Arabidopsis thaliana: one gene and its partners. The protein of the gene in region 4 purifies or fractionates together with the protein of the main gene of each other region. This does not show direct contact. Each region holds a gene or a part of one and is shown on either strand. Other genes may lie near its edges. The genes, in order: AT1G75300, AT1G75280, AT1G75290 and AT2G37660.

Region 1 (3,868 bases), on a different chromosome or scaffold from region 4:
AGAAAAGTAAATCAAAGCCATACGATCGAGAATCTAATTATGTCAGTCAAAGCACAAAGATAGACCCCACGATACTACAATACATGCATGATGCATCGTCATTATTTTCGTTCCTTTTTTATATTAAATTAAAGATGTTTCATGCTTTTTGATAGGTTATGGTATCATGAAAAACCTAATGTGTCATGGCTTTTCCAATCTCTAAAGTGTTTTCAGTTGCTTTCCTTAAAAGTATTCTGAGAGAATCTCTTAGCCATATGCATTGCATATTCACATCACACCCAATCACATGCTTCGCCTACTTCGCTGTTTTTTCTCTTTAACAAGAATCACACATCGTCTCAGGCCCAACAAGAGCCCATAATGAAAAGCTCTGAATCAGGCAGAAGGTTTTGTAGGAGTTGAAAGACTGAAACAGCGTCGTATTAGGACGATGAGCTATCATCATCTGCCACTCTTTCTCAGTTTCTCCGTCTCTCGCCGGCGATCGATTCGCCGAAAAGCCCCACTACCCAGGTGCGTCTGTCTCGACCTTTCCCTATATCTTGTAATTGACACAAGATACTATTAAAAGTATTCAATTTTAGTGTAATATATTAGCTTGAGTTCACAAAACTTTACATTTTGCTTGATTAATCAATTTCACACGTACAAGAATCAGTTTTTATTGTTTTGTGATTTGTTTTTGTGAATTGTTCTCAAGTGAATTGACTGAGATACTCATCAATACTCGTGTACTTGACATCAGGGTAAAGCACAGAGGCTTCTTCACCGAACCAAGGCTCTATTGTGAAACTGGTCTGATCTCCCTTCACAAACACCGCGTGGTTTATAGACTTGAAAACATCGATGGGAACTGGAGAGTACGCAAAAAGAACATATCTTTTAATTCAGCAAATGAAAAAAAATGGTAATAAAGAATTTAAACGACTTCTTGGTGAATTGTGGTATGTTATTAATTTCTAACCTTGGATGCTTTTAAGGATTTGCTCTTCTGATATGTGAGTCTTCTCAAGAGACTTGCCGATCTTTTTCTCCCACAAGGTGACCATTTCGTTCATCGATAAAATGTTGTTAGGAGGACTAATGTAGAGGGTTTTGTTCAGAGTCCTTAGATCATCCACCGCCTTGATCATGTAAGCTGCAACATCTTCCTCTTTGTTGATCACAACTGCAAAATCAATTTAAAAAACTTGTTACATAAGAATCTTTATAAAAAAAAATAGATTATACGTTCTGTTACATTATAAAATTCTCAACCTTTGGCATTTCCATCGCCTAATATGGTGACTTTGTCTCTAGGAGGAACATTTTTGTCGCCAAAGATGATGGCCTTGTCTCTAGTATGAGAAATGAGACCAGACTCGAACTGAAGTAACGTACGCAAGTAAAAACCGGCAGAGCAATTGCTAACAACGTAAGTGTATGGTATTCCTTCAGCTTCAATGGCTCTCCTGATCTGTACCTTCCCTGCAAATAATGATTTTGCCGGCTCAACCGCACTGGTCCTCTCAACGTCTATCCCAAACTCAGCCGGCAAGAATCTCTGCAAAGCAAAAACTATAAATCTAGTAAGAGGTTATGTTCAGCTGGATTTTTTCTCATAACTATTTTCAGTTAGATCATATGCTAATCGGATTGCCATTTATATGTATTGAGGTTTGAATCAAATACCAACCTTGACGTTACCAGCTTCTTTAATGGCGGAAATGATCTTGGTTTGATCAAAGATTTGCTTGTGCCCGATGGTTGATATCACCACATCAACCTGTTTAATGGCCTTAACTAAGCTCTCATGATCATTCAAATCTCCCTGTCCAAGTTACATAACTAGGTTATGGTTTTGAGTTTGTATGAAACATGTTAGAGAGTGAGAGTTCATGCATACGTGTAGTATTGTGACACCGAGATCTTTGAAGCTCTGGATGGTTTTGCTCTTGACAGGATCAGAGAGAGATGCTTCTCGGACAAGAGCGAATGTTGGGTTACCGGCTTTCGCGCTCCCTTCAACGATGAATTCTCCCATGTAACCAGTCCCTCCGATCACCAGAATCTTGCTTTTCTCCGTCGTCATGTTTCAAACGTGGTAATGACTAATGATTGTGTGTACTACTAAATTCAATAATGCTGTGGAATTTGAGTGGCGTTGGCAAGGCAATTTATGGACAGAATTTGTTGGTTGATTGACAACAATACCCTCACTCAACATCTCATGTGGTGCATAGATGTTGACTCCCATGATAAACATGTTATGCTCGTTAAATCCAAATTTTCTCATTTGACCATATGTAAAATTGTGAGATATTTTGTGGTTTTACACAGCTTTATAGACCGTAAAAATGGCTTAAAGATGGATGCATATAGAGATAAAGCACTGTGATTAGTCACACACATTGCAAGAATCATTTTTTATTGATACAAACATGAAAGCAGCTAGCGTTATGGTGGTAAATTAGGTGTTTAATGAAGTTCCTAAAGCGAAATAACTGAGATACTCATCAATACTCGTGTACTTGATATCAGGGTAAAGCTCAGAGGCTTCAAAACCGAATGAAGGCTCTATAGTGAAATTGGTCTGATCTCCTTTCACAAACACCGCGTGGTTTATCGACAGAAGAACGTTGAAGGGAACCGGAGACTCTGCAAAAAGAGAAAGATCTTCATATTCTAGAAAATGAAAAAACGGTAGTTATAAAGAATCGAAAGACCTCTTGGTGAATTGATTTTCTGAACCTTGGATGCTTTTAAAGATTTGTTCCTCTGACATGTAAATCTTCTCAACAGACTTGCCAATCTTTTTCTCCCACAAGGTGACTATTTCGTTCATCGATAAAGTGTTGTTAGGAGGATTAATGTAGAGGGTTTTATTCAGAGTCCTTGGATCATCCACCGCTTTGATAGTGTAAGCAGCAATATCTTCCTCCTTGTTGATCACAGCTATGAAATATTCGACTGTGTTAGATTCAATTGCATAAAAAGCACAGTAATGTTAATGATATGAAACTAACCTTTGACATTTCCATCTCCGAAAATTTTGACTTTATCTCTAGGAGGAGAAGTGAGACCTGGCTCCAGCTGAACCAATGTGGGCAAGTAGTAACCAGCAAAGTAATTGGTAACAAGGTAAGTGTATGGTATTCCTTCCGCTTCTATGTCTCTCCTTGTCTGTAGTTTCCTCCCAAAAGCCGATTTCGCAGGCTCAACCGCACTTGACTTGTCCACGTCCATCCCAAACTCAGACGGCAAGAATCTCTGCAAAACATGAAACTATGTACAAATTTGGTCTTATGCAATTCGATTTTTTATATGTTAAGGGTTTGTATCAAGATCTGACCTTGACGTTACCGGCTTCTTTAATAGCTGAAATGATCTTGGTTTGATCCAAGATTTGCATGCTCCCAACGGTTGATATAACCACATCGGCCTGTTTAATGGCCTTCACTAAGCTCTCATGATCGTTCAAATCCCCCTGACCAAGTTATCATATACATAACTAAGGTTATGGTTATTGAATTTGTATGAAACTTATTAACGAAAGGATCAAGCGTACGTGAAGTAATGTGACGCCAAAATCTTTGAAATTCTGGACGGTTTTGCCCTTGTTGGGATCGGAGAGCGAGGCTTCTCTAACGAGAGCCAGTGTGGAGTGTCCGGCTTTCACGCTCGCTTCTATAATGAGTTTTCCGATGTGACCAGTCCCTCCGATCACCAGAATCTTGCTTTTCTCTGACGCCATGTTTAGATTCGAAACGTGATAATTGAATGCTAAGTGAATGATTTTGGGAGCGAAGGAATAGCGCTTTACGGACCAAAACATTGGTCGGTTGATTTAAGATAGAACTACGATAATACCCTTACCTAACCTTTC
Region 2 (4,495 bases), on a different chromosome or scaffold from region 4:
CACTAAGCTCTCATGATCGTTCAAATCCCCCTGACCAAGTTATCATATACATAACTAAGGTTATGGTTATTGAATTTGTATGAAACTTATTAACGAAAGGATCAAGCGTACGTGAAGTAATGTGACGCCAAAATCTTTGAAATTCTGGACGGTTTTGCCCTTGTTGGGATCGGAGAGCGAGGCTTCTCTAACGAGAGCCAGTGTGGAGTGTCCGGCTTTCACGCTCGCTTCTATAATGAGTTTTCCGATGTGACCAGTCCCTCCGATCACCAGAATCTTGCTTTTCTCTGACGCCATGTTTAGATTCGAAACGTGATAATTGAATGCTAAGTGAATGATTTTGGGAGCGAAGGAATAGCGCTTTACGGACCAAAACATTGGTCGGTTGATTTAAGATAGAACTACGATAATACCCTTACCTAACCTTTCTTTAATTACAAAATTGAGATTTATTTTTTGGTTCCCTTTTTATTTTCGCTGAATCTAGACAATGGACATGACCAAATTCAAATTCTATTACCAAACTCAAGGTTTGATATATATTTTTTCTGATTTGGATACAAAAATATTTGATTTAGGTATTATTAAAATTGATTTGAATAAAAACCTTAGGTACCTAACATATTGATAATCATGTATAGACTATAGGTATGAATTATATATTACTAATTCATATTTCTTGGGAAGCTCGGAAACAGAGGTAAAGCACTGTGATTACTGATTAGTCACACATACACACACACATTCACCATTACAAGAACCATTCTTTTATTGATACAGAACATGAAACTAGCGCGTCATGGTGGTAAATTACGTTTATAATGAAGTTCATCAAGCGAAATAACTGAGATACTCGTCAACACTTGTGTACTTGACATCAGGGTAAAGCTCAGAGGCTTCCACACCAAAGGAAGGCTCTATACTGATATTGGTATCTCCATTCACAAACACCGCGTGGTTTATCGACAGAACAACATTGATGGGAATCGGAGACTCTGCCAAAAGATAATCATTTAATTCAGAATGAGTAATTAATAAAGAATCTAAAAACCTCTTTGTGAATTGATTATCTAAACCTTGGATGCTTTTAAGTAGTTGTTCCTCTGGGAGGTGAGTCTTCTCAAGAGACTTGCCAATCTTTTTCTCCCACAAGGTGACTATTTCGTTCATCGATAAAGTGTTGTTAGAAGGCTTAATGTATAGGATTTTGTTCAGAGTCCTAGGATCATCCACCGCCTTGATCGTGTAAGCAGCAATATCTTCCTCTTTGTTGATCACAGCTGCGAAATATTCTACGGTGTTAGATTAAACTGTATAGGCCACGTTATAAGTGTTTGGATTCTTGAAACTACTAACCTTTGGCATTTCCATCGCCAAGAATGGTGACTTTGTCTCTAGGAGGAGAAGTGAGACCAGGCTCGAACTGAACCAATGTTGGCAAGTAGTAACCACCAAAGCAACCGGTAACAGCGTAAGTGTATGGTATTCCTTCCGCTTCGATGGTTCTCCTGATCTGTATCTTCCCTGCAAAAGCCGATTTAGCTGGCTCAACCGCACTCGTCCTATCCACATCCACCCCAAACTCAGACGGCAAGAATCTCTGCAAATAACATATCCAATATGAAACTATATATATGCAATTAGATCCCTCTAGAACTACTCTTTCATTAAAAAAAGAAAAAAAAAAAATCAAAACATTGGACTCTGTTTATATGTAATGGGGTTTGAATCAAGGTAATATGAAATACTGACCTTGACATTACCGGCTTCTTTGATGGCGGAAATGATCTTGGTTTGATCCAAGATTTGCATGCTCCCAACGGTAGATATCACCACATCAACCTGTTTAATAGCCTTCACTAAGCTCTCGTGATCATTCAAATCTCCCTGACCAAGTCATATAACTAAAAGTTATGGTTATGAAAAACTTATATGAATGAATGAAACAGAGTGTATAAAGTTAAAGCGTACGTGTAGTATTGTGACGCCGAGATCTTTGAAACTCTGGACGGTTTTGCCCTTGACAGGATCGGATAGAGTTGCTTCTCTAACGAGAGCGAATGTGGAGTGGCCAGCTTTGGCGCTCGCTTCTACTAGGAATTTCCCGATGTAACCAGTTCCTCCGATCACCAGAATCTTGCTTTTCTCCGTCGCCATGTTTAGTTTCAAACGATGATAATGAGTGCGCACTCTTTGAGTGGTAAGAAAATGATTTGGAATGTGCTTGAAGGAATGGTTTGGGCACCGCAATTTATGGACCAGACATTGTTTGGTTGATTTACGATAATACCCTTACTGAACCTTACTTCAATTCTAAGATATTCATTTCTTGTTCGTGCCTCCCCATCAAAATTCTTATTAAAATCCTAATTAGCTAAAATAATCACTGGTTAACCGGAAGGTTAAAACCTTATAACTATGATCGTAACCATTATTTAAATAAACTTAATCGATTGACCCCAGGTCCCCAACCCTTAGCCCCCAACAGGATCGTTAGTGAGCTTAAGGGGGTTTGGTCATACGCAAACTAAACTGGTACATAGCAAACCGAAGCCTTAAACCAGAAGAGAGAAAGGAATTAGTAGACTGGTTTATAGTGTACTTATATATGGAATCTGGACACAATATAGATCAAATTCATTGACAAATACATTCTAACATCAATTTTGGTTTGTATTGGTAACACTTGGACAATGATTTGACCATTTGATTGGTGCAAAAAAAAGAAGGAGACTAACCAATTGGAGAAGGTTCGAATATATCGTAACAGCCACTTCATCAATGACGTCACAAATTTCATGAACATATTTAAAGACCAAAGATTTCGTTTTCCTTGTATTTTATTTGAAAGACATTTTTGCCTATTTCATTCATATTTTGCTTTTAAAACGAGAATTATAATTCTTCGACTCCGTGGGATAAGTTTTCTAAAAAATCGAAGAAAGATCGATGGCTCTAGATATCTGCGTGAAGGTTGCCGTCGGTGCTCCTGATGTTCTCGGCGACTGTATGTTCTCTCTCTCTATCCTTTCTCCAATCATCGATCTCCGTTTTGTTTGTCCACATCAAGCTTTGATTTCTTAAATTAGGGTTTTTGATCTGTGATCTATTCAAATGCGTGTGCTTTATTCTATGAAATCTCGATTTCTTTTTCTCAGGTCCGTTTAGCCAACGTGTTCTTCTGACACTTGAGGAGAAGAAGCTTCCCTACAAGACCCATCTGATTAACGTCTCCGACAAACCCCAATGGTACGTTCTGTGATACCAATGATTACTGATGGAGATTTGATTAGCTTAATAAGTAATCCCCAAATCGAAAGCTGTATAATTTGGATGAAAAGTTACAACTTTTATTGTGTTTTGGACACTAAAAGATTCTGTATCTTCTGTAAATTTGTGGGCTTTTGATAGATTTCTCTGAAATTTTTGTGTTTTATAGGTTCTTAGACATTAGTCCAGAGGGGAAAGTTCCGGTGGTGAAGCTTGATGGCAAATGGGTGGCTGATTCTGACGTAATTGTTGGACTTCTTGAAGAGAAATATCCAGAGCCTTCTCTCAAGACTCCTCCTGAATTTGCTTCTGTAGGATCCAAAATCTTTGGTGCTTTTGTGACTTTCTTGAAGAGCAAAGACGCTAATGACGGATCCGAGAAGGCTTTGGTTGATGAGTTAGAAGCGTTGGAGAATCACTTGAAGACACATTCTGGTCCTTTTGTAGCTGGAGAGAAGATTACTGCAGTGGATTTGAGTTTAGCACCAAAGCTTTACCATCTTGAGGTTGCTCTTGGTCATTACAAGAACTGGTCTGTCCCTGAGAGCTTGACCAGTGTTCGTAACTACGCCAAGGCTTTGTTCTCTAGGGAGTCGTTTGAGAACACCAAGGCTAAGAAAGAGATTGTGGTTGCGGGTTGGGAATCGAAGGTGAATGCGTGATGTGGATCCATGCTTCTCTAGTTAATGTTGCTTTAGAACTATTCTTCACTGAATAATAAGAATGCACGAGTATGTGTGTGTTCTTGTTTTTGTTAGAGTTGGTTATCAATAATGATGCGATAAAGCAGCATATCTTTTTTTGATAATATACACCTCTTATTCAATTTGGTATTACAGTCCAATGGTCAATCTCTTGATTATTAGTAAATGCCTGCTACAAGATGATGATGCTATAGTTTCAGACAAACTGGCTGAGTTACTCATCGACGCTTGTGTACTTGATATCTGGATAAAGCTGAGAAGCTTCCACTTCAAAGTAAGGCTCTACTGTAAAATAGGTTTGATCTCCTTTCACAAAAATGGCATGATTTAAAGCCAACAGAAGATCAAGTGGATGTGGAGACTCTGCAACATTTCAAGTATTAGCAAACACCTGATCTTAATTGTTTATGTTTGGTAAAAAAGAGTGTCAAAATTATCTCTCTCACCTGGGATTTTCTTGAGAAGTTTCTCCTATGAAACGTAAGTCTTCTCCAGATTTTTACCAACCTTGCTCTCCCACA
Region 3 (3,575 bases), on a different chromosome or scaffold from region 4:
AGAGATGCTTCTCGGACAAGAGCGAATGTTGGGTTACCGGCTTTCGCGCTCCCTTCAACGATGAATTCTCCCATGTAACCAGTCCCTCCGATCACCAGAATCTTGCTTTTCTCCGTCGTCATGTTTCAAACGTGGTAATGACTAATGATTGTGTGTACTACTAAATTCAATAATGCTGTGGAATTTGAGTGGCGTTGGCAAGGCAATTTATGGACAGAATTTGTTGGTTGATTGACAACAATACCCTCACTCAACATCTCATGTGGTGCATAGATGTTGACTCCCATGATAAACATGTTATGCTCGTTAAATCCAAATTTTCTCATTTGACCATATGTAAAATTGTGAGATATTTTGTGGTTTTACACAGCTTTATAGACCGTAAAAATGGCTTAAAGATGGATGCATATAGAGATAAAGCACTGTGATTAGTCACACACATTGCAAGAATCATTTTTTATTGATACAAACATGAAAGCAGCTAGCGTTATGGTGGTAAATTAGGTGTTTAATGAAGTTCCTAAAGCGAAATAACTGAGATACTCATCAATACTCGTGTACTTGATATCAGGGTAAAGCTCAGAGGCTTCAAAACCGAATGAAGGCTCTATAGTGAAATTGGTCTGATCTCCTTTCACAAACACCGCGTGGTTTATCGACAGAAGAACGTTGAAGGGAACCGGAGACTCTGCAAAAAGAGAAAGATCTTCATATTCTAGAAAATGAAAAAACGGTAGTTATAAAGAATCGAAAGACCTCTTGGTGAATTGATTTTCTGAACCTTGGATGCTTTTAAAGATTTGTTCCTCTGACATGTAAATCTTCTCAACAGACTTGCCAATCTTTTTCTCCCACAAGGTGACTATTTCGTTCATCGATAAAGTGTTGTTAGGAGGATTAATGTAGAGGGTTTTATTCAGAGTCCTTGGATCATCCACCGCTTTGATAGTGTAAGCAGCAATATCTTCCTCCTTGTTGATCACAGCTATGAAATATTCGACTGTGTTAGATTCAATTGCATAAAAAGCACAGTAATGTTAATGATATGAAACTAACCTTTGACATTTCCATCTCCGAAAATTTTGACTTTATCTCTAGGAGGAGAAGTGAGACCTGGCTCCAGCTGAACCAATGTGGGCAAGTAGTAACCAGCAAAGTAATTGGTAACAAGGTAAGTGTATGGTATTCCTTCCGCTTCTATGTCTCTCCTTGTCTGTAGTTTCCTCCCAAAAGCCGATTTCGCAGGCTCAACCGCACTTGACTTGTCCACGTCCATCCCAAACTCAGACGGCAAGAATCTCTGCAAAACATGAAACTATGTACAAATTTGGTCTTATGCAATTCGATTTTTTATATGTTAAGGGTTTGTATCAAGATCTGACCTTGACGTTACCGGCTTCTTTAATAGCTGAAATGATCTTGGTTTGATCCAAGATTTGCATGCTCCCAACGGTTGATATAACCACATCGGCCTGTTTAATGGCCTTCACTAAGCTCTCATGATCGTTCAAATCCCCCTGACCAAGTTATCATATACATAACTAAGGTTATGGTTATTGAATTTGTATGAAACTTATTAACGAAAGGATCAAGCGTACGTGAAGTAATGTGACGCCAAAATCTTTGAAATTCTGGACGGTTTTGCCCTTGTTGGGATCGGAGAGCGAGGCTTCTCTAACGAGAGCCAGTGTGGAGTGTCCGGCTTTCACGCTCGCTTCTATAATGAGTTTTCCGATGTGACCAGTCCCTCCGATCACCAGAATCTTGCTTTTCTCTGACGCCATGTTTAGATTCGAAACGTGATAATTGAATGCTAAGTGAATGATTTTGGGAGCGAAGGAATAGCGCTTTACGGACCAAAACATTGGTCGGTTGATTTAAGATAGAACTACGATAATACCCTTACCTAACCTTTCTTTAATTACAAAATTGAGATTTATTTTTTGGTTCCCTTTTTATTTTCGCTGAATCTAGACAATGGACATGACCAAATTCAAATTCTATTACCAAACTCAAGGTTTGATATATATTTTTTCTGATTTGGATACAAAAATATTTGATTTAGGTATTATTAAAATTGATTTGAATAAAAACCTTAGGTACCTAACATATTGATAATCATGTATAGACTATAGGTATGAATTATATATTACTAATTCATATTTCTTGGGAAGCTCGGAAACAGAGGTAAAGCACTGTGATTACTGATTAGTCACACATACACACACACATTCACCATTACAAGAACCATTCTTTTATTGATACAGAACATGAAACTAGCGCGTCATGGTGGTAAATTACGTTTATAATGAAGTTCATCAAGCGAAATAACTGAGATACTCGTCAACACTTGTGTACTTGACATCAGGGTAAAGCTCAGAGGCTTCCACACCAAAGGAAGGCTCTATACTGATATTGGTATCTCCATTCACAAACACCGCGTGGTTTATCGACAGAACAACATTGATGGGAATCGGAGACTCTGCCAAAAGATAATCATTTAATTCAGAATGAGTAATTAATAAAGAATCTAAAAACCTCTTTGTGAATTGATTATCTAAACCTTGGATGCTTTTAAGTAGTTGTTCCTCTGGGAGGTGAGTCTTCTCAAGAGACTTGCCAATCTTTTTCTCCCACAAGGTGACTATTTCGTTCATCGATAAAGTGTTGTTAGAAGGCTTAATGTATAGGATTTTGTTCAGAGTCCTAGGATCATCCACCGCCTTGATCGTGTAAGCAGCAATATCTTCCTCTTTGTTGATCACAGCTGCGAAATATTCTACGGTGTTAGATTAAACTGTATAGGCCACGTTATAAGTGTTTGGATTCTTGAAACTACTAACCTTTGGCATTTCCATCGCCAAGAATGGTGACTTTGTCTCTAGGAGGAGAAGTGAGACCAGGCTCGAACTGAACCAATGTTGGCAAGTAGTAACCACCAAAGCAACCGGTAACAGCGTAAGTGTATGGTATTCCTTCCGCTTCGATGGTTCTCCTGATCTGTATCTTCCCTGCAAAAGCCGATTTAGCTGGCTCAACCGCACTCGTCCTATCCACATCCACCCCAAACTCAGACGGCAAGAATCTCTGCAAATAACATATCCAATATGAAACTATATATATGCAATTAGATCCCTCTAGAACTACTCTTTCATTAAAAAAAGAAAAAAAAAAAATCAAAACATTGGACTCTGTTTATATGTAATGGGGTTTGAATCAAGGTAATATGAAATACTGACCTTGACATTACCGGCTTCTTTGATGGCGGAAATGATCTTGGTTTGATCCAAGATTTGCATGCTCCCAACGGTAGATATCACCACATCAACCTGTTTAATAGCCTTCACTAAGCTCTCGTGATCATTCAAATCTCCCTGACCAAGTCATATAACTAAAAGTTATGGTTATGAAAAACTTATATGAATGAATGAAACAGAGTGTATAAAGTTAAAGCGTACGTGTAGTATTGTGACGCCGAGATCTTTGAAACTCTGGACGGTTTTGCCCTTGACAGGATCGGATAGAGTTGCTTCTCTAACGAGAGCGAATGTGGAGTGGCCAGCTTTGGCGCTCGC
Region 4 (4,272 bases):
ATGGACAAAACAGTCAGGTTATGGGATATAGAAACCAAAACATGTCTCAAACTGTTTGCCCATAATGACTATGGTAAGACAAATCTTTTGTATCCTATCTTCACATCTAGCTATTAATTTTCTGCATGCACTTTTGACTATATTGTCTCATTGATTCAACAGTGACATGTATTCAGTTCAGTCCAGTGGATGAAAATTATTTCTTAAGTGGTTCACTTGACGCTAAAATAAGGATATGGAGCATACAAGATCGACATGTTGTGGAATGGAGTGATCTTCATGAAATGGTTACTGCTGCTTGCTACACACCAGACGGTCAGGTATTTGCTCTGTTTTTTTGCTCTGTTTTTTGCTCTGTTTCTTGGAGTAGTCTACAAAATCCATCCATTATGGTGTTTTTATAATGATGGAAGTTTTGGTTTTTTCGGTTGAAGGGTGCACTTATCGGGTCACATAAAGGAATTTGTCGTGCTTACGATACAGAAGGTTCTTCCTAAGCTCTTTCTGTATCAAACATCATGTTTACCAGTTGAATACTTCTTTTCATTGCGACGCGCTTTTTTCTTCTGTAGAACAGATTGTAAGCTGAGCCAAACTAATCAGATTGATGTTCAGAGCAACAAGAAATCACAAGCGAAAAGGAAGATCACTAGTTTTCAGGTTCCTTTCTTTAAAAGCCAAAATCCTTCTTAAGACTTTAGTAAACTAAAATGTTAACAAGTTGTTGATGCCATTATATAGTTTTCCCCGGTGAATCCATCTGAAGTTCTTGTCACATCCGCTGATTCACGGATTCGAATACTAGACGGTTCTGAAGTTATTCACAAATTCAAAGGTAAATTCTCTACAAGCACTAGAGCCAAGATGAACAAAAACAAAAACTGATACTTTTTGTTGACAGGCTTTAGAAACACATGTAGCCAACTCTCTGCTTCGTATAGCCAAGATGGGAAATACATAATATGTGCGAGTGAAGACTCTCAAGTTTACTTATGGAAGAATGACTTTCACCGAACAAGATCAACACTCACGACACAATCTCACGAACATTTTCATTGCAAAGATGTCTCAGCCGCTGTTCCTTGGCATGGTCATGTTAGAGGTGAGCCACCACCAGTTCAGATTCACTCTAAACGCCACTCAAAGCGCATATCTACTTCAAGCCAGCCTTCATCCACCATAAGCTCACCAACAAAAGAAGAAACCTCGGCGACTGGACCAACTACATCTAACCGGAATAAAAAATCAGGGTTACCTCCAATGCCTAAGAAAGCCGCTACAAAGAGTCAGATTCAACCAGAGGAAGAGGCAGGACCGGAGCTGGGAAGCAGTGAGTCGTTTCGGTCGAGTATGAACTCTTCGGAGCAGCATTCATCGAGGTTTGGGGAATCTCCATCGATAAACACATCGTCAAGGTTATCTTCTTGGTCATGGTTCGACAGTGGAGGGCATGGTCCGCAAACTATACAGCCAACGGCTTGGGGGATGGTGATTGTGACGGCTACAGTTCATGGTGAGATCCGATCTTATCAAAACTTTGGTTTACCGAGAAGAATCGGTCGCCAAACTACTCTGTTTTGATTTTAAAAAGGAAGGAACCGGTGTTTTATTTTTCTTGATTTGTATCTTTGTTGCTTGTAGAGTACGTAAAGAAACCTTCTTATACAGAAACAACCGTCTTATAGTGTTGAGAAACCTCTCTCGACGTTCAAAATATTGAGTTGTATACACAGAGAAAAATTTGTGTAGTTCTCCAAATATAAATCAAACAGTAAAACTATGTTACTTCAATTAATTAGATGTTCTTCGATCATTCGTGGGAGATAGGCCATGGCCCATTTTAAAATCAGGCCCGTTTAAAGCGTAATTAGAATGAAACAAAAAGACAAATATAATTCAAAAGATAAGGTGACGTGGCGAAAATCGGAAATTTTGCGATATTTCTCACTCTCTCGTCTTCTTCGTCTGAGCTATCAAACTCCAGTCAATGGCGATGATGACGACGACGACGACAACATTCTTCCATCCACTACTTCCTGCTAACACTTACAAATCCGGAGCTGTAGCTTCTTCCTTTGTCTCAGTTCCTCGTTCGTCGTCTCTCCAATTTCGCTCACTTGTGTCAGATTCTACGTCGATTTGTGGTCCAAGTAAGTTCACCGGAAAAAACAGAAGAGTATCGGTTACCGTTTCCGCCGCCGCAACAACTGAACCTCTCACCGTCCTCGTTACCGGTGCCGGTGGAAGAACAGGTTCTCTCTCTTTATCTCTACAATGTGGTATTGTGAAATTCCATAAGAACACTGTTCAATATTGATGGTGACTGTGACAGGACAAATTGTGTATAAGAAATTGAAGGAGAGGTCGGAGCAGTTCGTGGCAAGGGGTTTAGTGAGGACAAAGGAGAGTAAGGAGAAGATCAATGGAGAGGATGAAGTATTCATTGGAGATATTAGAGATACTGCATCAATTGCTCCTGCTGTTGAAGGGATTGATGCTTTGGTCATTCTTACTAGCGCTGTTCCGCAGATGAAGCCCGGTTTTGATCCTAGTAAAGGAGGAAGACCTGAGTTCTTCTTTGATGATGGAGCTTATCCAGAACAGGTGACTACATTGATCTTAGTGTAGTGTGTTCTTGTGGATTTCTTCATTTCTTCTTGGTTTTTGAATTCATGATTTTGTTTGTAGGTTGACTGGATTGGTCAGAAGAATCAGATAGACGCTGGTTTGTATTCATCATCTCTGTTGTATGTGTGTTTAGCGGAGGTGTTGATGATGATGGATTGTCGTTTGTTGTAACAGCTAAGGCTGCAGGAGTTAAGCAGATTGTTTTGGTTGGGTCGATGGGAGGAACAAACATTAATCACCCTCTCAATAGTATTGGCAATGCTAACATTCTGGTGAGACTACTCTTTCTCTGTTTTCTTGAACACAGAGATGAGTTTCACGGCAAATGTTCACAGTCTTTATGCAATTTGTAGGTCTGGAAGAGAAAGGCTGAGCAATACTTGGCTGATTCCGGTATTCCATACACCATCATCAGGTAACTTTTATTGTTTACTTGCATCCGGTACAAATTGCAATGGCGGAATATTCTCATCTTGCAATATTGCTCTTGGATTCAGGGCTGGAGGTCTGCAGGACAAGGACGGTGGCATTCGAGAATTACTTGTGGGAAAAGATGACGAGCTACTTGAGACAGAAACAAGAACAATCGCAAGAGCTGATGTTGCAGAAGTCTGTGTTCAGGTGTGTGTTCATTATGACCAAAAGGGCTTCGTAAACTGCATAATCCATCAACAGTTACCATATCTTTTAAACCAGTTTTGCTTCTCCTAATCCATGGTGTTTATTATTTGAGCAGGCATTGCAGCTTGAGGAGGCAAAATTCAAAGCTCTTGACCTGGCCTCAAAGCCCGAGGGAACAGGCACCCCAACAAAGGATTTCAAGGCGCTTTTCACTCAAGTAACCACTAAGTTCTGATTAAGTATTTTTTTGTTCCCTTTGTCATTGTAGCAAAGTCCTAGAATTGACACTGAGAGGGATGAGTTCTTTATGTGTCTGAACCGGCTCTTTCTATTTCTCAAGATGTCTTGCCCTAGAATCTCTAAGTAACATCAAAAGCTTTTGAAATATCTTTAGAGATCATCAAAACTCGCTAATAGTATTGAGGGACCACAACTAATAACTAGGAGCTCAAGTTCCAAGCAGAAGAGTTTTCCAGAAATAGTAAAACATCTTATTTCAATGCAACATTGGTTCTCGTGTGTACATTGGAGAAGGAAAAAACTTCTCTTTAAACCATAGTTTCTCTAAGCTTCCTCTTATATGTGTTACAATCTAGACAAACTAACTCTGCTAGCAATATACAAACAATCTGATCACCCTAGCTACAAGAATACCGTTAGGAGAATCTAGCTGAGAAACAACAAAAACACAGCTAGAAAGTTATAAAACAGGACTTACATCAATATTATCTTTGAACAAGTTCTTTGTGCAGCATTCTCTTCTTACATCTGCAAAAGAGATAACACAGTCTCAGTACAATGCCTAGAAAGAATTCTGATGGTATTAATAAAGCTATGTGAATATGAATCCGAGTTGTACCTGTAATTCTGTCTCTGGGAATTACACAGGAAGAAAATCAAGAGATGGTCTCTCATATGCCAACGAGGATTTCTCGGTCAAGCCTTGGACTCTGGTTTCCAAACAGAAAGAGCCATGACAGTTCTTCCCTTCCAGCCTTGCAAGAGCCACCGGTTATCTTGATC

Evidence for each region.
Region 1: the proteins of AT2G37660 (region 4) and AT1G75300 fractionate together in Arabidopsis thaliana (co-fractionation; one large-scale study listed by BioGRID). This does not show direct contact.
Region 2: the proteins of AT2G37660 (region 4) and AT1G75280 fractionate together in Arabidopsis thaliana (co-fractionation; one large-scale study listed by BioGRID). This does not show direct contact.
Region 3: the proteins of AT2G37660 (region 4) and AT1G75290 fractionate together in Arabidopsis thaliana (co-fractionation; one large-scale study listed by BioGRID). This does not show direct contact.

The regions. Positions count from the first base shown.
Region 1 is NC_003070.9:28,253,758-28,257,625, reverse strand, and holds AT1G75300 (NmrA-like negative transcriptional regulator family protein), read right to left. Parts: upstream 2,132-3,868; 5' UTR 2,075-2,131; coding exon 1,889-2,074; exon of another isoform or gene 1,814-1,888; coding exon 1,679-1,813; exon of another isoform or gene 1,547-1,678; coding exon 1,261-1,546; intron 1,172-1,260; coding exon 968-1,171; exon of another isoform or gene 857-967; coding exon 699-856; 3' UTR 586-698; downstream 1-585. Other genes in the region: AT1G75290 (NAD(P)-binding Rossmann-fold superfamily protein), read right to left, coding at 2,453-2,640, 2,734-2,937, 3,009-3,252, 3,335-3,469, 3,551-3,817.
Region 2 is NC_003070.9:28,249,692-28,254,186, reverse strand, and holds AT1G75280 (NmrA-like negative transcriptional regulator family protein), read right to left. Parts: upstream 2,562-4,495; 5' UTR 2,158-2,561; coding exon 1,972-2,157; intron 1,888-1,971; coding exon 1,753-1,887; intron 1,601-1,752; coding exon 1,357-1,600; intron 1,281-1,356; coding exon 1,077-1,280; intron 996-1,076; coding exon 832-995; 3' UTR 501-831; downstream 1-500. Other genes in the region: AT1G75290 (NAD(P)-binding Rossmann-fold superfamily protein), read right to left, coding at 1-30, 112-378; DHAR2 (dehydroascorbate reductase 2), read left to right, coding at 2,950-3,007, 3,159-3,249, 3,440-3,932.
Region 3 is NC_003070.9:28,252,099-28,255,673, reverse strand, and holds AT1G75290 (NAD(P)-binding Rossmann-fold superfamily protein), read right to left. Parts: upstream 1,953-3,575; 5' UTR 1,866-1,952; coding exon 1,599-1,865; intron 1,518-1,598; coding exon 1,383-1,517; intron 1,301-1,382; coding exon 1,057-1,300; intron 986-1,056; coding exon 782-985; exon of another isoform or gene 689-781; coding exon 501-688; downstream 1-500. Other genes in the region: AT1G75300 (NmrA-like negative transcriptional regulator family protein), read right to left, coding at 1-122; AT1G75280 (NmrA-like negative transcriptional regulator family protein), read right to left, coding at 2,319-2,482, 2,564-2,767, 2,844-3,087, 3,240-3,374, 3,459-3,575.
Region 4 is NC_003071.7:15,794,693-15,798,964, reverse strand, and holds AT2G37660 (NAD(P)-binding Rossmann-fold superfamily protein), read left to right. Parts: upstream 1-1,905; 5' UTR 1,906-1,987; coding exon 1,988-2,252; intron 2,253-2,332; coding exon 2,333-2,604; intron 2,605-2,688; coding exon 2,689-2,725; intron 2,726-2,802; coding exon 2,803-2,900; intron 2,901-2,981; coding exon 2,982-3,043; intron 3,044-3,125; coding exon 3,126-3,249; intron 3,250-3,364; coding exon 3,365-3,484; 3' UTR 3,485-3,752; downstream 3,753-4,272. Other genes in the region: AT2G37670 (Transducin/WD40 repeat-like superfamily protein), read left to right, coding at 1-73, 163-320, 435-486, 578-660, 742-835, 902-1,581; AT2G37650 (GRAS family transcription factor), read right to left, coding at 4,186-4,272.